Styela clava: one gene and its partners. The main gene of each other region encodes a partner of the protein of the gene in region 3 in a complex. Links are inferred from orthologs where the notes say so. Each region holds a gene or a part of one and is shown on either strand. Other genes may lie near its edges. The genes, in order: TATA-box-binding protein-like, transcription initiation factor TFIID subunit 1-like and transcription initiation factor TFIID subunit 5-like.

The links.
Region 1: transcription initiation factor TFIID subunit 5-like (region 3) and TATA-box-binding protein-like share a complex: the UniProt entries of both Caenorhabditis elegans proteins name them as parts of the TFIID basal transcription factor complex. The link is inferred for Styela clava from reciprocal best matches to the Caenorhabditis elegans genes taf-5 and tbp-1.
Region 2: transcription initiation factor TFIID subunit 5-like (region 3) and transcription initiation factor TFIID subunit 1-like share a complex: the UniProt entries of both Caenorhabditis elegans proteins name them as parts of the TFIID basal transcription factor complex. The link is inferred for Styela clava from reciprocal best matches to the Caenorhabditis elegans genes taf-5 and taf-1.

What each region holds. Positions count from the first base shown.
Region 1 is NC_135253.1:12,137,294-12,145,396, forward strand, and holds the start of TATA-box-binding protein-like, read right to left. Parts: upstream 3,048-8,103; 5' UTR 2,921-3,047; coding exon 2,798-2,920; intron 2,526-2,797; coding exon 2,387-2,525; intron 1,823-2,386; coding exon 1,695-1,822; intron 1,533-1,694; coding exon 1,405-1,532; intron 1,232-1,404; coding exon 1,144-1,231; intron 985-1,143; coding exon 725-984; intron 228-724; coding exon 133-227; intron 49-132; coding exon 1-48. UniProt on the Caenorhabditis elegans protein: The TFIID basal transcription factor complex plays a major role in the initiation of RNA polymerase II (Pol II)-dependent transcription.
Region 2 is NC_135257.1:9,180,666-9,188,352, reverse strand, and holds the start of transcription initiation factor TFIID subunit 1-like, read right to left. Parts: upstream 3,037-7,687; 5' UTR 2,854-3,036; intron 1-2,853. Other genes in the region: rho-associated protein kinase 2-like, read left to right, coding at 3,097-3,178, 3,428-3,588, 4,102-4,355, 6,895-6,979, 7,480-7,593. UniProt on the Caenorhabditis elegans protein: The TFIID basal transcription factor complex plays a major role in the initiation of RNA polymerase II (Pol II)-dependent transcription.
Region 3 is NC_135258.1:9,324,830-9,332,706, forward strand, and holds the start of transcription initiation factor TFIID subunit 5-like, read right to left. Parts: upstream 3,033-7,877; 5' UTR 2,892-3,032; coding exon 2,687-2,891; intron 1,791-2,686; coding exon 1,679-1,790; intron 689-1,678; coding exon 542-688; intron 23-541; coding exon 1-22. Other genes in the region: protein MAK16 homolog, read left to right, coding at 3,361-3,375, 3,464-3,513, 3,601-3,719, 3,797-4,013, 4,705-4,759, 4,837-5,010, 5,087-5,134, 5,657-5,803; TELO2-interacting protein 2-like, read right to left, coding at 5,882-5,971, 6,055-6,226, 6,433-6,603, 7,132-7,353, 7,429-7,632. UniProt on the Caenorhabditis elegans protein: The TFIID basal transcription factor complex plays a major role in the initiation of RNA polymerase II (Pol II)-dependent transcription.

The DNA of each region.
Region 1 (8,103 bases), on a different chromosome or scaffold from region 3:
GGTAGATGTTGTTGAAAGCTTCCTCTATCTCTGATCTCACTTTTGCACCTGAAGAGAATAGTTTAATTTTAAAATAATCCCTAGAATATGTTATATGATTAAAAGATAACTTGTAGTATGGGAAACACTCACCAGTGAGTACAACTTTGCCAGATACGAAGATTAGAAGTACAATGCGAGGTTTCACCATTCTGTAGATCAGCCCAGGAAAGAGTTCAGGCTCATAGCTGTAAAATGAAATTCTATGTTCAAGTGCCCAGATTCCACGATGTATGTGTTAACTTATGTAACATTCCTAGAAGGTTTTCATAAATTATAGAAAGTATAGGCCAGTGCTACTCAACTGGCGGTCCGAAGATTCGGACCGCGACGAATTCTTTATTTTGGATCATGAGCCCCACTATTGAAGTTTTCCTTTTATAATATCACTTTTCATAGATTTAAATATATATGAAAAGAACTATAATGCCATAATAAATATTCTTGATTAGCTAATAATCATTAGTCGGTCGAGGAAGTGCGGGTTTAATAAGGATGCCCAAATATTTTTGAAGTTTTGTATGCCGATTCTCGGTAAAAATAGTTGAGTAGCCCTGGTATAGGCTACTGATTGTAACCATTTTCAAACGTTCACAACTTGGCAGATCTACAATTTCCAATGCATATATAAAGAAAGATAGGTCTCTAAAATGAAAAATTCCATCAGATTCATTTAAGTACCAACCTTGAGAATTGTCCGTGTGTTAGTACAAGGCCTTCCAATCGAATTGGAAACTTCACATCAACACTTCCTACCATGTTTTGTATTCGAAAATCTAAAAATTTTGCTGGAAAACCCAGTTTCTGTACAACTCTCGCATATTTTCTGGCAGCTAATCTTGAATTAGTTTCACTTTTAGCTCCTGTGCACACCATCTTGCCAGAACTGAATATTAAAGCAGTTGTCCGCGGATCACGAATTCGCATAATTACTGCAGCAAATCGCTAAAAATACATATTTACATTATTTTGGAATTTTTGTCAGCTTACTGGTAGGTAAGTTGTATAGCTAAACAACCGACCATAATAGAAGAACTACAGGTAATCATGTTTTATATCAGTATCAAAGATGCTTTGGGCTAAATAAAATAAGTGAACCCTTACCTTTGGGTTATATTCAGCATTTCTAGCATGTAAGGCAATTTTCTTGAGATCCAACTTACATCCTAGATTTACAGTTGACACAATATTTCTGAAAAGTAAGAAAAATAATAACATCACCTATCATGTTTGAGTCTTTATTTTTTTTTTTGCAAGTCCACATGAAATATATTTTACATCATTACTACATGTATCAAATATTCCACAGAATTTCTTCCAAAGTAATTTAACATATGACACAGAACAATCAAACCATATACTTACTGTAACATTGGTGGTCCGACCCCAGAATCTGCAGGAGTTCGAGGAGTCATTGGTGTTGCTACATTCACACTCAAGGGATAACCAGGAGTGTTCGCATGATAATTACTCAATGCGCTAGGAGTGGGGACCTGTTCAAAATAAAGGAAATATAAAACAAATCATTTCGATATGGTCTGCCCTATTGTCAAAATAATACCATTGGGTTTGATGGAAGAAAAAAATATACTCATCATAAGACACAAGTAATGGTAAGTAAAGACCTGATTTTCTGTAACATACATGTGACATACTTGGAGATTGGATAAAGGTGCTGGACTCATTGCAACTGATGTTCTGTGCTGTTGAGCATCTGATCGTTCATCTTCGTTCTGACGATGTGACCTTTGACTTTCCAAAGTAACAAAGTGTTGATTGGATGCTAATGAAAGGAATGATATCAATCGTTACTCCTTGATGCCTTATAATACAAATACCACAATTAGTTTTACAATAGCTTGCAGGAACATGGTCTATTACAGACGAACAAATAGTGAAGGCCAATTGATACAAGGAGAGAGGATTTTATTACTCATACATCAAAAAATGGTGAAAATTCAATTTTGGTATAGCAATACTGCCTTTGTGAAATCAAAATAAATGAATACCCAGGCATAGAAGCATAAGGTAAGGTTACACTAGCAAAAATATGGTATTGTGGGTCCCACATTATCTGGGGATATAAAACACAACTGTACACCTAAAAACAAGACACGACATATGCTATTACAAGCAAGGAAATTGCAAATTATTGCAAGGAACCTATTGCAGTTCATTTTGCAAGGTAAGTAGACTATGCCACTTTATGGCCGACTAGGATTAGCAATCATACATTGAAATTCAGATATTTGATCATTCAATTAGCCATCGCATATAAAGCAATCAAATCGGAGGCATGTGAAAAAACGAAGTGTACAGTTGGAGCACAATATTAGACTTAACAAACCTCCAGGTTGTGTATTTTGTTGATGCGATGGAGCTCCATACATTGGATGGCTTCCATACATTCCTCTTGGTGGCTGTTGGTGATGACTCACAGCGTTATATCCACTTGGATTTGGCAAACTTAATCCAGAACTTCCAGCCTGAATATAAAGCAAAATACATGTCTAATTTGGTAAGCAATTACTGAATCTGACAGTGACTTGCCCTGGAATATCCATTCTTGATAGAACAATAGCCTAAATACAGACGGTACTGAAATATCAACCAGTTCTGCAGTTAGGCTATATCTACGTATTCACCAATAGTTATAATGAATTTATAGATATTGTTCATTGGCAAGTAGACAAAGCAGTACAATAATGGTATTGCAAACCTTCACCAGGTAAGGATGTAAATTCAGTGATTCACTTACCTGATTTTGTGATAATTGTGGATTTGCCTGAGAAATCAAAGGCCGTTGTTGTCCACTAACACTCCTTTGTTGTAATATTCCTCCATGTGGAATAGTGCCTGGAATGACTCGCTGTGGATTCATCGTAAGGCAGTAAAAATTCAGGAAGTTAGGAAACACCGCCTTTCGAACTCAAGCAAGAGTAGTGACCTACACAGTCACAAACAACGAAGATACGAACAGCGACGACGTCAAAAATGAATGACAGCGCCCCAAGCGGAGTGAAATAATATCATTCAACTTTTTTATTGCGTCATTTCCTTTATTTTTCATAGTGATATTAAATTCCAATTTATTAAAAATAATATGTAAAAATTAAAATGATATATAAGTTTATGTATTATTCAAAATTTCTCGATAGCTAATGCGTACTGTATAGATTGAGACTAAACAAACTTTTTGAACAAAATTTTTTTACCTCCAACAGTTTTGTTTCACACAAAGCTTCTAAATACTACACGCGCACACTTAATAAACAATTGAATACGTGTTAATTTTAAAATAAAATCAGTCAGCATGCATTGATAGCTTAATAGTGTTTGAGAGCTAAAGTGGTTTACAGGTTCAAAGCATTATTTTTAGTAAAATAGTTAGCCATGTGCCGTGTATGGGAACTGAAAGCAAATTATAGCCTTGTGCCCCAGTCTATCGCAGTTTTTTCGTCATAGGCCGCGAGCCGAGGCCATTTATCTTTCAGTTTCGTAGCGCACATCAGGTAACTACCTGAAAATGATTTTAAAATGTTCCTTAGAAATTTAGTAACAAATATTGCCTTGTTCCCACTTCCAAAAGTTGCACGTTTTACAGAAAAGACGCTTTTACTACAATAAATATGTGTTACCATCTGTCCTATTTTCTCTGCTTTTCCGGTATCATGGGCCAATGAACGCAGACTTCTGCACGACGTAACAGTCAAGTTAGTCAGCTGTAGGTGGAGACCCAGTGGTCGGATGAATATCAGATGTACTACAACTGCTCGCTTTTGCGTTGAGTACGGTAGCCTTTCTATAGTTTTTTTCAGTTACCGGTAATATTAGTTCAGTTATTCTAAGGAGGTGTTGAAAAGTATAGGTAAGATATTAAACACTTGTATATCCTTACCATAACAAGCAATTTCAGTTGAGCACTAGCTCATAAGACGTTGTTAAATAGGTACGGTGCGGTAACTCCAAGGAAGGCTAGACCTAGAATAATATGTCACAAACAACGATATTTTCTGGCTTGCATGAAATGTTTATGATTAATTTAATGACTCTTTTTGACTATTCAGCAGACTTATACTACTATATAGGCCACAGCATATTTGGAAATAGAAATGAATGGCTGTTTCTGTAATGCACGGTTGTGTGAAAGAGAAGAAATTAATCAATTTTCCTAATGTCGGTTGGTCTAAATCTAAATTCATAGAGTCGACAAGAACCTGGGAAGCAATGATAAGTTATGCCGGAGTGGAAAGAAAGGTAGCATTGGAAACGATTGAGAGGTGAGAAATCAAGTTGTAGACAAACAGTTGATGTTTCAAAATATAGTCTATAGTCCATACTCATACTGTCATAGGACATTTCAGACTGTGATATATCAAAATTTAGTGTAGATATAGTCTAGTAATGGTATGCAAACACTGCTGGACTGTAGTACATGCAATGAGCATATACCGGTATACGCTCATTTAGTACATCAGATAAAATGCATTATATATTCAAGGTATTAGTTAGTACCGTATTTAGGGGTATTTTTAAAATCATGCTGCTCCAAATATTATTTTCTTCCTTATTTTAGATACTGTACTACAAAAGAAAACGGCAATGTTCCACCAATCCGACCTAACGCAGGCTCTGATCCCTGCTGCTATCAGTGCTATAAAATGGATTAAACAAGAAGCCTTGAAGCTTAAAGGTATATGAGAATCATAATAGTTGCAAACAGCTTAGATGGGCTATTCATATTGAAATACTTTAGCACTTTTCTGCAATTGGAACTGCCCATCAAATTCATGTTGGAGACTTCATTGAGATTTTCAATTCATTTATTTCCCTCGACTATGAAGATCTTTTGAGGTTAACGAGGCATTAATAAATAAAGCTGAGGAATTTGAAGAGGATATGAAGAATGTAAATGATACCAGGGCACGTCTATTTAACACTGTCAAACATAAGGATTATACTCTCCACCCAACAATGATTCACTGAAGAAGCATGTGGCCCTCAAATCAGTTCTTGAGTTGGCAAACTGCAAAGAAAAATAGTCAAAATAATTTATGAAAGTGTGCCAAAATCAACTTAAATTGCACAGATTTTTGTTTTTGTTTTGACTGCAGAAATCACAGTACACCTATAGAGGAAAAGTCGATTTTTGAGATAGTGGATTTCGAAAACAATTCAGAAGAAAGTGAATTAGATATTACAGTTGATTTAATAAGTATCATACTCATACATTTGTTTGTTTTTTCGGACATTTGTTAGTGTCGTAGTCCTGTTTCTAGAAATATTATTGCCTTTTCAAATACATAACCACATAAACTAAAAAAGATTAATTGTGAATTGTAATATTTCTGTTCACTATGTTATGTACATATTGTACATTCGTTTAATTTTCTTGACTTGCGGTAAATTTCTAAGTGAGAAATAACTGATTTATTTGTGTTTTCGTGCTCACGATGTTAATTTGTGACTTCATTGCTAAAAAATAAATAGGTTTGATAGCTTCTATAAAATGGATGTAGCTTTTCATGCTGTTCTTGTTGTAAACTGCTTGTGGTTATTACATAAAATTTATTCGCAAATGTGAATCAGCGTTGTTGGTGTCGCTGCTTTCGAGGTCACTCCCGACTCCTGTCACACAATTAAAGTATTTTTTGTTGTTGGTTACATGTATGCCATATTTTTCGTAATCTACCTAATAAATTATGATTGACTGAGGAAGTCCGATTTTGGTCAGGCAAAACATTACAGGAATACATTTGTGTTAGTGTGCTGTAGGGCTCTCGAATTGTATAGTTCTTATGTATGTGTTGTAAACTTATGGTTATTGAATTTCCGGGAACCTCTTATATTCAATTTCGCACCAGGATTGTGGAACAAGCTGTAATGCGTTCATTATGTTCGTTTTCACACAAAACTGAAGAATTTATTTAGTTACCAGATGTGCGCTACGAAACTCATTTTCTGGGCGTTTTCATGGTTTCGTCTCACGGCCCATATCCGTGGTAAGGATCTACAAGTGTTTAATAACTTACTTATACATTTTTCAACAACGTCTTAGCATAACTTAACTAATAATAACTAAACAGGGCTATGGAAAGGCTGCCCAACTCAGCGCAAGGTCGAGCAGTAATACCTAATATTCATCCACTCGCTAACAGCTGGTTTAATTCAATTGTTACGTCTTGCAGAAGTCATTGTTCCTTGCCGATAATGTAGAGAATATAGGACAGATCGTAGCACATATTTCTTGTAGTAAAAGCTTCTTTTCCGTAAAACGTGCAACTTTTGGAAGTGGGAACAAGGCAATATTTGTTACTAAATTTTTAAGGAACATTTTAAAATCATTTTCAGGTAGTTACCTGATGTGCGCTACGAAACTCACTTTCTAGGCGTTTTTCAGGGCCTCGGCTCGCGGCCTATCACTGATTTTTGATTATTGTTACTAAAATGAAGCTTATCGGAAGACATAATGAAAAATAAAATATTTGATATACTACTATTTAGGGAAACCGACAAAAAATACAACCTACTACAACAGTGGTACCCCGAAAATAAAATCTAGTCTGAATTAGTCAACAACGCAATCTCTGGCTATATACGGTACTCGTGACCTAGCCGGACTTGTATAATGATTCTAACATATAATGACAACCAATTATTATTGAATTACTATTTTTTGTTCTGTGCTTCAAATATTTATAGTGTGACATTATTTGTGAAAGAAAAACTCTCTCTCTCTCTCCTACACAATATTATTAGGTTAACTATGATATTACGACGTCAAATAAATTTTAAAGCGCATATGACGTCAATGTGGAGGGGGAATAAATGAAATGGTAGTGGCCAAGCACCCCGATATGGTGGATGTGCGTAATGAAAATGACTGTGGTTGCAATTCCATAATAATTCAATCCAGTAATTCCATAATAATTGGTTGTCAGGATGCCAGAAATAAACACTCAAAAAATACGCGAATGTAATAAACTTACGGGCTGTTGTATTCTTATGAAATACTCAAGCTAATAAGGACCAATTTATTCTGATACAATGACAACGTGTGTAGGTGTATTGTAATGTGATAAGGTGACGAGAAGCGTCAAAAACCGTGAAAACTACATTGATTTGGCATTGGTGAAAATGTGATACAGAGAATCAAGACACATACAAACAAATCAAAGCAATGCTGGTAAATTCTGCGCTCAGCGGCTCAGGCAATTATAAAAACAACAAAAGAGCAGCGCCCAAATATATGGACACATCTGTTCGCAGTACAGTACGGTTTACCGTACCGTCAGATCACAGTCTACAACAAGAGAGCTGTGCTCAAATATATGGACACGTAGCGCCACCTAATGGCAATAATTTTGATGGCGTCTTAGCAAAAAAAGAGTAATAGCCTTCTGAGGAAAATTTTTATCTTTAACCACTGAAAATTTCAAAGCAATTGGTCTAGTAATCAAAAAGAAAAGCGATTTCTTCAAAACGTGTCAAAGAACAACACAAGAGAGCTATGCTCAAATATATGGGCACGTAGCGCCACCCAATGGCGATAATTTTAATGACGTCATAGCGAAAAAAAAATAAAAGCCTTCTGGAGAAAAATTTTATCTTCAACCACTGAAAATTTCAAAGCAATTGGTCCAGTATTCGAAGAGAAAGGCGATTTTTTAAAAATGATGGAGACAAATAACAATAACAACATAATATTGAAACGATCGTTATGTCTACTAAACGTGTCCAAAATTATATTCACATAAAGCGAAGCAGTACAGTAGGACACAAAATGGCGTCCGATGACCACAGAACGTTCGGTGACGTCTTAGCAAACATAAACAAATGTCACGGAGCTAACAGAAATATTTGAAATAAATAAAAGTAATAGATTTCTGGAGAAAAATTTCATCTTTAACCACCAAAAATTTCAAAGCAATTGGTCCAGTGATCAACTAGGTGTCCGAAAAGTGTTGAACAACAAAAAAAACAAGATAACAACAAAACGATCGTTATGTCCACTAAACGTGTCCGATTACCGTATCAGTGGTACCGTATATTGCGAGCATAAAT
Region 2 (7,687 bases), on a different chromosome or scaffold from region 3:
AAACTCACGATTACGTGTCAATTTGGTGAAACAAGCAAACATATCCTGGTACCCACCACAGTCCACAACAGTATTGTTTTTGTGATTTGACCAATAGCAGTATAGGGAATTATGCTCATGCATGCCATTTGAAAAGTTTTGTATTCTCAAATACCCTCCAAGTTTGTTCGCAATGTTAATTGTACTTCTATTCATATTCTCCATTTTATTATTATTTATTGTTACCTCTAGTTGAAAGTTCACAGCAGTTTGTTTTGTACAGAGTTTTACCATTCCTCCTTTGTGCCATAATTAACCAAATAAAACAAAGTTTAATTGGCCTACTTTGCTTTGTAGGAACTTAGCATGAGTAAATGTGGCATGTATTTTTGTAGACTATTATATCAGACTGCATTTTAAGGTTTTGGTATTCAGCACAGAATCAAAAATTTATTGCATTCAAAAACAACATTTCTTTTTAAGTGCTTAATCATTGAAGTTTTGATTGATAATTGATGGGTATTCACACAAAGGCATCTCGAATTGATGCCAATGATTAAGTGTGTGTAGGTTTATAGTATATCATTGAAAATTGATTTAATTTGGAATATGTCAATTTGGGGATTAATGGTTGTTATAATCTTCAACTGAGTGTTCCAATGGAGATTACCTATACAGTGGAATTCTTGATGCATCTGATTTTATAATAATGAGTTTTATGAATTATTTGCTTCTCAATTGACTATGTGTTGATGAGACACTAAAGTACATTGTTTTTTACTGGAAATAAGTAAATTTTCTAAAAAATAAAAGAAATAAATATCATTTAAAATAATGCATAGATTCATTGAAATGATGATATTCATGCTATTTTGCAAATACAGAATCAACAAACATACATATTTTAGCTTTTATTATAACATTCCACAAAAACCAAATAGTAAGAAGTCTGGTATTTGTTGTGTTATATACAATAAAAAGGTACAACACTATATAATGCTATTCTTACCAAGACCATTATGACAGTATTCAGCACGGTTTATCTATTAATATTGGCTGTAGACTTATTTGACTTTCGACTACATGTATTTATTCAAGCATATAAGGCACACAATTACGTCATTGTCCAGCTTTACTACAGGTGATGAATTGAGTGCTCATGTCATACTAAATTATGCAGTGAGATCAAATTCCACAATCAATTCTTTGTAATTTTATGGTGTTAATCAGAATAATTTAGTTGTCCTTAGGCTCAGAACTTGGGCTTTGTTTCAATTTTTATTTCAAATTTTGAACCGTGAATTTTTAAAATGCCAAATGAAAATTTTTGTTATAAATGTAATATGGAGCATGAGATTGAACCCGGTTTTACTACATAGTTGATAGTAATTGGTAACAATATAGCTATAAATCCTAAAATATTTCAAGGCTTTTTCATTTAAAATAAGTGACTCTGCCAAATAAAACTACCTGATACTGGTATACTGATGATTTTTCCAATTATTCAAATGTTAATTTTTGATTGTAAAGTTGTTTCGGTATGCCTTCCTTTGACAAGATATAGCTGATACAACAAGACTTATATTTTTTCAATCCTATTTTGGACTAAATAATTGGTATATGTTTAGCTGGCTATAGGTCATTGAAACTGCATTCTTATATTAATTTCTCTAGTTTAGTTTTATTTTTCAAATTCAATTATTCATATTTCATACAATAAAGTATTAACCTAACATTGGATAATTTGTATTAAATAAAACAGTTTGTATACCAGTTGAACTATGGTAGTTTGTTTGATAGTTCTTCCAGTTTCTTATTCAAAAAAGGAATTATTAGTATTGTTTTCTATTATAAACAAAGTCACAATTATAATGAATTATTAATGCAATGTAAGCCATACATTTTATCTTTCAATTTGATGTTGAGACCTTCTTTATGACTTAGGAACTGCTATGATACTTTACTATGGAGTTTATATAATGACCAACAGTAACATATTCAAAAAAATATTATGGATTATACTTTCTAACCACAAGCTAGGGTTATTATAATATATTTATTGCACTGAAACGACAGTTAGTTTAATACATTTTCTAAATTATTTTAACCTGTTTGTGGTATTCATGCACACCTGTTAACAACTTGTTGTTGTTCAATGGCAATGTAAATATATGCTTGTATCATTATACTTCTTTCTTTTTGAAGTTTGCGTTTTTGCCCGTTTTGAGCCACTTTATTTCAACTTGAGATCCTGTATTTATATATATATATATATATATATATGTTTTAGAAATAGTATTAAAAAACCTTCTAGATCAGAGCTTTTGACACACAAAATAGTAATACTTTACAAACTTATTTTAAAAATAGTATGTTGTGGTTTGTCTTTTTTTTTACATGGTTCTACTATAAATACCAGTAATAATTATCTGATTAAGCCTTAAAATAAACAACCACTTTTCTGAATATAGGCTACATAACGTGTCAATCCTATCAAAAATGAAATCGCTGAAAATTTCAGTATAAATGTTACAGAATTTGTCGATAATTTTCTGGTTTTAGCTTAAATGATCCATGGTTTGGCATGGTATCAAATCAGTATTATGCTTGTAGTTGAAACTTACAATATATTATCTTACTATATCTTAATATATTATACTTCTGTGCTATAGTTTTTTCTTGTGGGATTGTCTTTCTCTTTATATAAGTGAATTTGCATAGTTTTCTGTGGAGTTTGCTGTTTCTCATTGTTGAAGGTCTGATTAACTGGTATTTTACACATAACCAAATTCTTGTAAATACAAAATTCACATAAGAAGCATAACCAACTGGGTTTAATTCAGTTTTAACTATTGAAAGTAATCATCACACAACCTTAATACAACCAAATTCTCCAATCAGCTAGATGGAAAAACAACATTATACACAATGCAAAAAATGGTATGCACTATTGCCTATTGGTAGTAAATATTGTGCAACAACACGATAATCCAAGTCAAACTATTTTAGGCAAAATGCCATATGACAAATTCACTAACGTAGTCAACTGGATATTTTATCTCCTATACTGATAATTGTATTTGATATTCATTCTAATTTTTCAATTTGTTTTCATAGGATGGCATCGTTGCATTGGTTACGGATCTAGACACTCCTGCTTTGAGAAGGAACAAGAATGTGGAAAATTTTTTAAATAGATGTAAGTATTTAATTCAACTAATCATTTAGTTATGAGCATTAGATCCGTTTGGAAAACTTTGATCCAACTTTGACAAAATAAATGCTGAATAAAAAGACTATCCTTTTCAGCAATCTGTTATGAATATATTTTCCATAAATGTCAAGTTCTGTATAAATGAGTCAAGTGTCTTATTCTCATTTGTATTGCTTTGCGGATGAGAGTACAAAGTGAGAGTCATTTCAACAAAAAAAACTTTTATATTTCCAGACGCACATCCTGTTAAGAAAATTTATGAAATAAGGATGAGAGCTTCTGATTTCACAGTAGTTAAGACAATCGGTCGAGGAGCTTTTGGTGAAGTTCAACTCGTTCGTTACAAACCCACTTCTAAAGTTTATGCCATGAAGTTATTGAGCAAATTTGAAATGGTGAGTTGTGTCATTGGTGAAGTTATTCAAGAACGCATGTCGATAATGGAGTTTGTTAAATTATACCCTTGTTTGTTTTTGATCAGTCTTATTCATGGATAATTATAAAACACTTGAAAAATATGGAAACAATTGTGTTTAAATACAATGTATATCCTACTATTGCTTTGCGGTATATTTATTTCTTAATAATAAAATCTTCATTTGGTAAAATATGTTTATTCAAGTGACATGAACCTTACCACATAAAATATTGGCATTGTTATCATGGAAAGTACTTGGCAACACAATTGTTATGACTGCTCTGATTATCATGTTGAACCACACATTCTAATTTTAGCTTACTATATTTGAGAAAGTTTCGCAGTTTTATCGGCATTTCGTGTCCAAATTGTGTGTGAATTGTGTTTGTGTGTAAATATGACATTCTTCCACTTTGGTTTTATCTAAATTTATGGACAATCATCTATATAATTTTTTGTTTCGGTATATTCCTTTTATAATGCTCCATAGATCAAAAGATCAGAATCTGCTTTCTTCTGGGAGGAAAGAGACATTATGGCACACGCCAACACGGATTGGATCGTGCGTTTGCAGTATTCATTTCAAGACAATAAATACCTCTATATGGTAATGGAGTTTATGCCTGGTGGAGATCTGGTCAATCTCATGTCTAATTATGATGTGCCTGAACAATGGGCAAAATTTTACACAGCTGAAGTCGTTCTTGCCCTTGAATCAATACACAATATGGGATTCATTCACAGGCAAGTTATCTAACTAATTAAGCTTTTTTTTACTGACGACTCATAACGGAGAGAGTCTATATTCATATTGTCTATTTCATATTCACTTGACTAACACAGACAGTCCCAGACTCGTAATAGAACTAAAATAAGGAAAATCGGAATAAAATTATTAAGGCATAGCCTTAATCTGGTACACACACTACAGGAGTACCCGTTTTTTTCTGATATTTCCGCATAAAAACTTTACGAATTGATTCTTGTATATATATATTTTATATATATTAGACTTGTGCAACACCTATCCCCCTTTAATACCACACATCAGAATGTTTTCATACATTTTGCTGTATTTAATTCACCTGATGTGATATGGCATATGGGAGTATGTTTTTTTTAAATAACAAACTTGAATATACTTTACTGAAGGAAAATGTTATCAAATATTCTGCAACTTCATCGATAGTAACATTCTCCACTATTCCAAATTGTTCTTAGGGTGGTATTGGTGAAATTTAGCCAACTCTGGTATTTCTAATACAACATTTTTGTGATTTGAATAGGGAATATCACATCCTATGGATAAACTGTCTTTAAAGTTCGGTCTATAACTTTTTTTTAAATGTTCTATTTGTATTTTATATTACCAGTATTTATTTTTAGTCATCAGGTTAGCAGTGATATAACAAATCATTTTTGTTTCATGCAATCTCATTTTTGAATCATATGGTAAAGGAGGGACTCTGAATATAATATACTATAATCTGTTATTTATATTTAATACCATTCATAATGTACCGGTAGTTCAATTGTGTAATATATAATTTTTTAAAAACATTCGTTATTGAAGACCAGTCGACAATCACAAACATTGTAGTTTATTATAAAATTTATTATTTGTTTTAGTCACTTGAGTACATTTATTAAAACAAAATTGTACAATAGATATTGCCAGTTGAAAAACTGGCCAGTTTTCTGTTTCATTCAATATTGATGACTTCTCCACTGTTGTGGCTAACATAAAGCTGCTGATTATTTAGTCCATCGTGCCCGATATTGTATATTGCATGTATAATAAATAGTCTTGTTACAACGTTGTGTGTCCTATGGGAAGTTTATACGTATTACTGCATGACGTAATCCAACTTTCAAATCATTATGATATTTTATTGCGATATGGAACCATAATATTGGTAATTAAAAGTATTGGGTATGGTGGAAATTGCCTATTAATAGATCTAAGGCTCATATTAAGGGTTCTTTGACAGTTGTTTCCATAAAACCCAATTCCGGGCATTTATTTGGTGATGTAGAGAGTTCATGAAGCCTGTATTAAAATAGGTAAAAGAACTTTAACATGCTCCGTGCAAATGATGGTCGGCATAAATAAAGGTGTATAAAATAGTAAGTTAAAAAACTAAATAACTGATTGAAATAAAACAAACCTGGTTAATAAGATATATTAAGAACTGACTTCATACCACTATTTTGAAATTGTAACCGGAATTTATGAACACTCATCATAGCTTGGCTTGGCACATTGCCAATAATAATCAATCTTTAAGTCAAATCATGCTTCATAAATATAATGTTCTGGATTGTGTCAGGAAATATATAATTCAAAAACGTGAAATAGTTTTTGTATATACTTATTAGGATAACTTAAATTACGAAATTAATTAGTTTGATTGTATTCAGACTGCATTATGATATTATCAATAATATTTTATTTATAATTTGTTCTTCTTAATGTGATGTGAATTTACTAATTAGCAACTATCTGCTTTTCTGATAGAAATTGTCAATATTCAACCGTGAACTACAAATAGACTCATACCAGATGTGTTGTTCAATATTGTCCTATTGTTAGTTATATATCTTGTGATATAATTACATTCCAAGTACAATTCAAGTTATTTCATGCTTGTACTTACGGTGGCTAAATTAAAATAATTCAACTTTTCTAAATACACTTCGTACTAATATTTTGGAATATAAAGTATTGTGACATTCTAAATTGGGTCATTTTCAAGAGAGGCATAAATCAATAAAAATTTATAGTAAATGAACGATGAATTTAGTTTTGTTAAAAATAAATTAATCGTTGTTATTATTGATTTTCTGTTTTTGCCTTGCCTGATTTAAGTGAAATCTATTTTTTTTATCTTGATCATCAGATAGTACTTGATTAAAATGACAAATAAAACTGACCTAAATTTTCTTATATTACTAAATTGAATGCATACAATCTTGAATGTATTCGATTTATTGTGGATTATAATGCTTATTAGTTTATGGAACTTGTCCTATTATCTTGTTTCATTGTCAGCAAATTGATCACCAATAAGCAAAAATTTTACAAATTTAAAATATTTGTGTTTGTGGTTGGTATGCTGTCATCCATACAATTATTTCAGTAAATGAAGGAAAAACAGTTTTTATTGTTAATTGGATTGCATGGTAACTTTTTATATTTGTCTATAAATCTAGCACTCAATATGTATCCTTAATTAACCACGTTTCTTTTGGTAATAAATTTACTTACTTTTTTATTCAACAGGGATGTAAAACCTGACAATATGTTACTGGATGCTCAAGGACATTTAAAACTTGCTGATTTTGGAACTTGCATGAGTATGGACAAGGTAAATGAATAATTACTATTCAAACACCTGCAGTAAATTGAATTCTTTATTGGAATTAGGGATATTTGTGTCTGCATAGTTGTTTATTTTAAAATTTTGTTCAGAATATCAATTTTGAATATTCTTAATGAATCGAATTTGGCAAAAAATGAGTGATATGAACTTTGATTTTCCAGCAAAAGTATAATTCAAATATTTTTTTATTTGGAATTTTTTACTAATTTTATTATAACTAAATTCTTGAAACATCTTCACTAACAGCTATTGTCAATTTTTATGCAAGTAATTGTTTGTGAAACTACCCCAGTCTTACTTCAAATGTTTCCTAGTGAAAAGGTGAACTAACCTGTAATGATGAAATAATTGAATCATAAATTTCAATGATTTCAGTCTCTCAATGATCATTATTTATTTTATCTTTATTCATCAAATATCTTCAGTTGAAATATTAGAGTACATCAATATTGTGTTATGACTAGTCCCTTATTTTTGTTTTCTAGGAGGGCATGGTGCGTTCTGACACAGCCGTTGGCACTCCTGATTATATTTCACCTGAAGTATTGCAATCACAAGGTGGTAAAGGTTACTATGGTCGTGAATGCGATTGGTGGTCGGTAAGTGATTGCACGATTGACCCGGATTCTTGTTTTTCAATAAATTATTTATATGTATCTTCTAAGAATCTGCTTTTCATTTTTTTATCAGTGT
Region 3 (7,877 bases):
ATGAAAATCTTCTAATTCTCCACTAAAGAATAAGGAAAGGAATTTTTTAATTAACCCCGAGAAAAATTTCTCAATTGTAGAACTTCTGCTTTGTCGAATTTCCTAACAGTGCAGACTTGAAGTGTTTCATGTTTCTAATTAACTTGGTATTTTAAGTCACAGGAAGAAATATATATCTTTCTATTGTATGTTTGAAGTAGAGATTCTTCTATCATATTCTTTATTTTTATTTCACAGCCTCTTTCTGAGTAAAGTGGAGAAGTTGCAAAAATAATGCATTTAATTGTGATTTATGAAAAGGAAATAATTCTAAATTACTACGTTCATTTCTCCTAACATCTTAGTGACCCCCAAAAAAATTTATCAACTGGAAAATAGCTTGAAACAAATTGTATCACTCCAAGTTCACATTATATTTGAGCAATTTTTATAAAAGTATTCTAGGATCAAAAACTGCATTCACTTCAATTGAATCAAAAATTAAAAAGTGGTCATATCTACTATAAACATGATTGACCGTCTATACAACTTGCTTAATCACCTGTATTGTAGAAAAAATAACTTTGCCTTTTCCGCATGATTATTGTATAAGAGTTCTAGATACATATGAACAAATACTGGATATAATACTTGAGCTAATTCCCATTTATGTGAGTCCAAATTTGATTCGATGAACTGCTTTAACATTCTACAAATATAAGAGGATAGAATCTCATAGACAATAACAAATAATTCACTCTTTCGAATACATTCAAAATTATTATTTTTGAATATGCAATATTGAATTTATTCGAAAATAAAACCAAGCAATAGAAGCTTTTCTTAGGAGGAATTTGCAAAACAGTGGAATAACTGTCATCTACAACTGTCATCAATCTGGCTATTTATGACACATTTTATGTCCGCAGATTGCTGTCAGAGTGGTAATGCTTCTATTTTTTCGTAAGAGTCGAGTTATTTTATTTGTCACTTCAAAAAACAATCAATCAAGAACAAAAATTTGTCATAAATAAATATTGAAATGACAAGTGCTGTGAAGGACGGAATGATCCGGCATCGAGTCTACAACACCTTAAAAAGATAAAAAAAATAAATGAATAGAAGAAACAAATAAAAAGAGTAGTAATAGTATCAAAAGTATGTAAATAAGAATAAGTATGAAAGTCCAAATCAAAAATTATTTATCACAATTTCTGAAATGACAATGACATAGAATCAAATCTTTGATTGGTTGTTATCTTCCGTGCGAGCGTGAGCCGCATATTGTTGCCAGCATTGCCACCATTCCCTTGCAAAGCTCCTAATTTACGCATTCATTTTTTCCTTTACTTTGAAAAATTGAAACACCTGACACCCACTCAAGTTTAGTCAATGACTCGAGTCAAGCAATCAATCAAATCGCTCAGAAAAAGCACAATAAAATCAAAATAAGAGATCTGTATATAGTCAGTCATGTCTTTGCTTGGAAGGGACAGAATAACCGTGAAATGACTATTCGATCTACTTGTCAACGGCAACCTTGCAATATGAATAAATTCTAAGAATATAAAATTACCACAAAATAAACGGGTTCATGCGAAGCTCTCCAACACGAAGCCCAAGTACGAGGAGCGAGTTGGGTGTATAGAGTTAAGAATCTAAATAAGTATATCCTATATGTTTTTTTTGATTATTTTACCTATAACTATCTTGGTAACTTGAAGGATCAGCTTGATTGGAATAAGTGGAAAGTAGTGATGAAACATCAGATGTACTAAAATTTTTGCTATCAGATGGAAGTCCGTCAGAACCTGAAAAACAAGTAAAGTTAAATAAATCAAATTTATTAACCCTTTCCGTGCGGTAGGCACGTATACGTACCAACGACAAAAGTCGCTAGATTGCGGCGGGTACGTTGATGTACTCCACTGTTTTATTTAGCAATCGGTCGCAAACTGTTGGTCTAGTTTTTCCGGATTTTAGTTTATTGATAAGAAGTCATCTTCGAGATTAACATAAGCAGTGGTAAATCTCGCTTTCGTTTACGACGGGAATTTTATTTGCGGCGGAACGAGGGAGTGTTTTTGAAATTTATGCAAATTTTGGTGTTTTTTGGATGGTAATAGAAGACATATTATCCCTTCCATCTACCAAAGTATTTTGAGTTAGATCACGAAATTGCTACAGCAATATTATGCTATTGTTTGCCAACCACGAAGCGGTAACAGTAAAGGATTTAGCGAATATTTCTATTTTTTATCACGGTTTGAATTTTCAACTCCCAAGAAAAAAAAATGCCTTTTTTCTATCCGGTTTGTGACTCAGACCACCCCTTTTAAAAAAAATTTTTAATCGCCAATTGCAAGCTCTTTAAATAAGCTTTCCAACGAGCCGTCAGTGGGCAGCAGAGAATCATTACTTTTTCGTTAGTCGATCGATTAGTTGTGGGGGTGCAAATGCATAAAGTCGGCGTAGCAAATACGATTATTTAATAAAAAATAAAAATCGCATGGAAAATTACATCTTACAAAATTAAGGCATTGTCTAGCAATTTCTCATTTTTGTGATGTCATCTTTTTTACAAATATTTATTTTATCGTTTGTTATGTTGATTATGGAGTCGAAATAAACTTATACTTATTCAAATATCCAGCAAGTGGTATTGGATTTCAGCATTTTACTAGCGATAATCTACATATTTTGTTACCTGTAAGTTTTGAAGACTCCTTTTCCAGCATAGCTGCCGTTGTTCCCAAGTTATTTTTCTTCAAAAACTGAAGAACAGCTAAAAGTGTTTTCTGATTTTCATTTGTTGGGGTCTCAGTAACCTTAGTTTCATTCGTGGTAGAAATGCATTCCGTGACTTCCATTTTAACAGGTAACGCGGGCACATTTGCAAATACAGATTCCATTATATCCGTTTTCTGTATACAAACCCGTATAGCTGTCCATACAAACTAGAAACGAAGCAATAAACCAATCGGATTGTAAACCCTAAACAACGCTATTCATTCATCAAACGCGAAATACAGAATCAGAGCGCAAAACACCGGAGGTTATCTTTTGTGGCACCGTAATCGCGTCACAGGCATTTTAAGGTAACAAGGTAACAAAAAAAAATCAAAATAGAATGAAAGATTTTTAAATTAATTAGTATTTTTTAAATAAAAAAACTTAATAAATTTTGCGCATGTAAATCATGTTATCTGCAATTTCCTTATTTTTGAAATCATGAAAGACGCTAAAACGATACCAGTGGCATAAAATTATGACGCCTTAGTCAACACATGTTGGGTATATCATTATTTATAATGTGGGTCGCCACAACTTCGATTTGATTGCAATTTTGTGAGACTTTGATCGAGTTGACGTTGGTGGAAGATGCAACACGACGATGTAAGTAATTTATTTTTCTTCAGTCACCCTAATGCCTTCAATAATCTTACAATCTACGACATGACAATCTATTGAACGTTTTTTACAGGTTATTTGGGATGTCATTGGAAACAAGCAATTTTGCTCCTATAAAGCAAAGTAAGTGTGTTTTCTGTCTAATGAATACCACCCTTCATTTCCATCAGTATGTTCAGAACAGCTTCATTTTATAATATCTTTTTTCAGAGCAATCACATCAAAAACACAAAGATTTTGTAAAAATGAATATAATTTGACGGGACTTTGCAACAGGGGCTCATGCCCGTTGGCTAACAGCCAGTATGCTACTATAAAAGAAGAGAAAGGTTTGTAATGTAGTATTTTCACATTTCCTATAATAGCCTTATGTTGTAATAATAAATATTTTAAAATGTTACTCTAGGTGTTTGTTATCTTTATATGAAGACAATTGAAAGAGCAGCTTTTCCTGGAAGATTATGGGAAAAAGTAAAGCTATCAAGAAACTATGAAAAAGCATTGGAACAAATTGATGAAAATTTAGTATATTGGCCGTACTTTTTAAGACATAAGTGTAAACAACGCTTCACAAAGATATATCAATATTTGATCAGAATTCGAAAGTTAACTTTACGAAGGCAGTAAGTATATTTATTGTAGCTCAATAAATATTTCCCAATCAATATTTTACAAAATCAAATAATATATTTAATAAGTGTTACTGCATCGCATGAAGTTTAATTATTGACCAAACAGTCAAATTGAGGGCTTGATGGTCAGGCAATATTAGGGGAAACTCAACCTAAGCGAGTCTTCTTCAATCATCTACCATAGAAATAAGTCAACACTCTTAAAGTAAACAGCCCGAATTGAGTATTAATGATATTGAATAGAAAAAAATCATACATGTTTGAAGAAGCGTAGTTCTTACCACTTCATGGCAGCTCCTGCCACGAATGTACTGCGGCGTCTCTTGCCATGGTTTTATGGCGCTATTACCTGTATATTTACAAAGTCATGTACAATATTTTAGTTTATCATGCGGAAATATAACTACTTGAACCTAAACCTAACCCCAAATACATCAAAACTGTATTCATAAATAAAGCGTTTCAACTTACCCAACATTTACATGCCGTGGTTCAGCAGCAAAATTGGTGGTATTCGATTTGCTGCCGTATCCACGGCAGCTTGCTATTGGTTTGTGGCAGCTAAAAAGTCAGTAGCGCTATTGGTCATAGCGGCTATGGATTTGCGACAGCTCTAGACGCCACAAAATACTTGAAACTGCACTTGTGTTTTAAAGGATAAATCTGTTTTTAATATTTTCAGGAAAAAATTAGTGCCTTTGAGTCGGAAAGTAGAACGAAGAGAAGCAAGGCGGGAAGTATGACTAATTTATTATTGAATTCACTTACCAAGAAAAATTCTGTTAAACTAATCATTTTTATTTCATCTTTTCAGCAAAAAGCGTTAGTTGCTGCACAATTGGAGAATGCAATAGAAAAAGAATTATTGGAAAGATTAAAGCAAGGAACGTATGGAGATATTTATAATGTATCAGTCACTGCATTTGATAGAGCTTTACAAAAAGATGAAGCCGAGTCTGAGAGTGAAGACGAGGAAGAAACTCAGGCGGTAATGTTTGTTCAAAAATGAAACTTTTGCTCTGGTATTTCCTGAGTAATCTAAATTTGAGTTATTTTCATCACAGGAGGTGGAATATGTAGCTGATGACGAAGTGGATGAAAGTGATCTAGAGGTGAGATTTATTTATATCTGTCTATTTTGTAATCAGTAACAATGAATACATGAAGTTTCGTTTAATTTCTACCTACCCTAAATTTTCAGGACTAAATATGCCTTTCCCGGCGTTGCAAAGATGTGCTTTGGCGTTAGTTAGCTCTATAGATTTTCGTATCTTTTGATGAAATAAAGCCACTCAATACATACACTAACTTTCCAAAAGTCAGGCCATGTTGGCCTCAATTGAATTTATGCTTGCCTGTCTGTAATTCTACCTTTATGGTTTCTGACATGCTATACTACTATATGATGAAATAATCAGTGTCTTGCATATGTATATGAAAATGTCTATAAGTTGCTTGTAACTGCACGAATCTATTTATCTTTGATGTTCAAGAATTCGGATCAGTGTTGTATATGTATATTCCACTAATAATTTTCTAGCTTATGCCAAAATAAATTGCTAACAGTAAGCTAGAATATGATTGAGATTAGCAAAAATTCATGGACATGATTCTTGATATCATTCTTTCATCAGGATATTGAAGATCTGACATCAGAAGGAGAGTCTGAAGAGGAAACCGAGAAGGAAACAAAATCTGCATCGAAAAGAAAACATTTAGAAATAGAATATGAAACTGAACCCAGTACAAGTAAAACTAAAAGAGAGGCACTAACTTTTTGAAACACGGATTATGACAATGCTCAAAATGTGCAACTATTCCCAATGTGATGAAATACCATCTCCACGATATAGACTGGACTAAGCAGAGGTGGCAATCAGTTGTTGGATTTTTTTGCCATATTGACTTAACGCCAGATCTGTTTCAGCTTCTAACATCTGTGCAGTCTCCTGTTTGCATAAATGATCAATATGGTATATTAAAAAAAGTGCGAGAAATTATGATTCATTTGATCCTGAAATCATGGACCTACCAGGATAAGTTCTTTAGAAAGCATTGAAAGTTTCATCGTTGTGTCAATGATGGCATTCACGATTTTCTTTTTCCCATTTTCATTGCATCCTTTCCACCTCCAATCATCATTTTCCAGGTTATAAAGTGCTCTTATTAGAAATCTTAACATTGCTTCACAGTGATGTTCTAGTCTAAGAGAATGACAAATTGTATTAGAATGATAAAGACTAGTAGTACAGGATAGTTTTTGAATATACCTATCATCAATATAGCAGAATAATAATTGATTTTAATCTTGCGTTTAAATAGCATACATTCTCCCCCTACATTCTCTTTCATATACTTGCAAGCAGGTAAATGTAGTCCTATGATATTCGATCAGTAAGACTTCACTCACCTTGGCCATGCGGCATCAACCATTTTTGAAATTACGTCAATGCAGCTCAACATTGTTTGAATATCGGTACTTTCTATTCCGTAATCCAGAACAATTATAATTTTCTTAATATGACCAATACTTTGAATTCCCATTCTTGATACAAAGAAAGGCAGTGCAGAGGAATAAACTCTGGAAGGTACAGAAGATGTTTCGAATTACCAGGTCAGCCGTAGCTGTTTAATAGATGCAGACAACAAATATCATCCAATGCTAAAAGCTAAAAATATTTGGCATATAAAGTTTGAGAAGTGACTTTCCCTGTTACTAGAACTTTCAAAAGAGATGAAAATTCTAATTTTTTGTCAACCCAATAATTTCAGGTGTACTAGGGTATTTAACTGCAGGTACTTTCTTCTTGTTTACTTTCTATTACGGATCTGTACCAGGATGCGTGACTGAGATAGTATTATGAAGATAAATAAAAATAACTTAATCTTCTTCCACGAAGCAATATCTTGTGTTATCTGAAGAAGTTAGACTGTGATCTAACTAACGAAAGCTCATAAATATACTTGATATTTTGTGGAAAGAAATTATGTTATTTTTATTTAGCAATAATTTCACCCATGATCTAATCATAATGTAATTGAGGACTAAATGTTTATTAAAAATTCATCCTTATCAATGGTTTTATTTCGTAAATCAAATATAATTCACCTTTTCACTAAATTGTCACTCGACAAATGAAAGTTATTCAGAACAATTTCAAAGCACTCATCATGCCTTGGAATACTGCATCCACGCTTCCGCATCATTTCAGATTCTAAGCAATCCAGAGATTGCATAATACACGAAATCAGAACTTTGGAGACGTCAGAATCTCTGGTATACAACTTTTTCACCAAGGCATCATGAATCACTTCTGCTCTCCCTCTGAACCTGAATGATTTCAACGCAGTAGTCGTTAACTTATATATTCTAAGCATTGGCTATTTCCGTCTGTATCTTACCCACCTTATTTCAGCTGGGGGGACTTCATGTAAAATGTGCTTCATACACTTTAGTCCCATTATTGTGTTTTTCGGAACAAAATCATCTACCATCAGTAATGTGAATGGAATGAACATGTCAAGATTTTCTGTTAGAATGTCTCCATTTGCCCTCAGCAGAAGATAAATGAAGAGTGATTTGGCAGCAGTGGACTCTTTCCATTGTTCCCTTCAAAAAATGTGAAATTTAATGATGTTCTGCATGAAACACCACATAAAATGAAGTCTAATTGGTGTAGTATATAGTAGTCATCAAAATCTTATAATAGTATCTGTAAAGATCACTTCATATTCCTAGCTTTTAATATAAAATTGCGGAGAATGAAGTAGATCAAGTCGAGTAATTAGTTGAACAACATTTGCATCCACTCATCATTTAATATTGATTCAATTTCTGAGCTATTTAATGTGAAA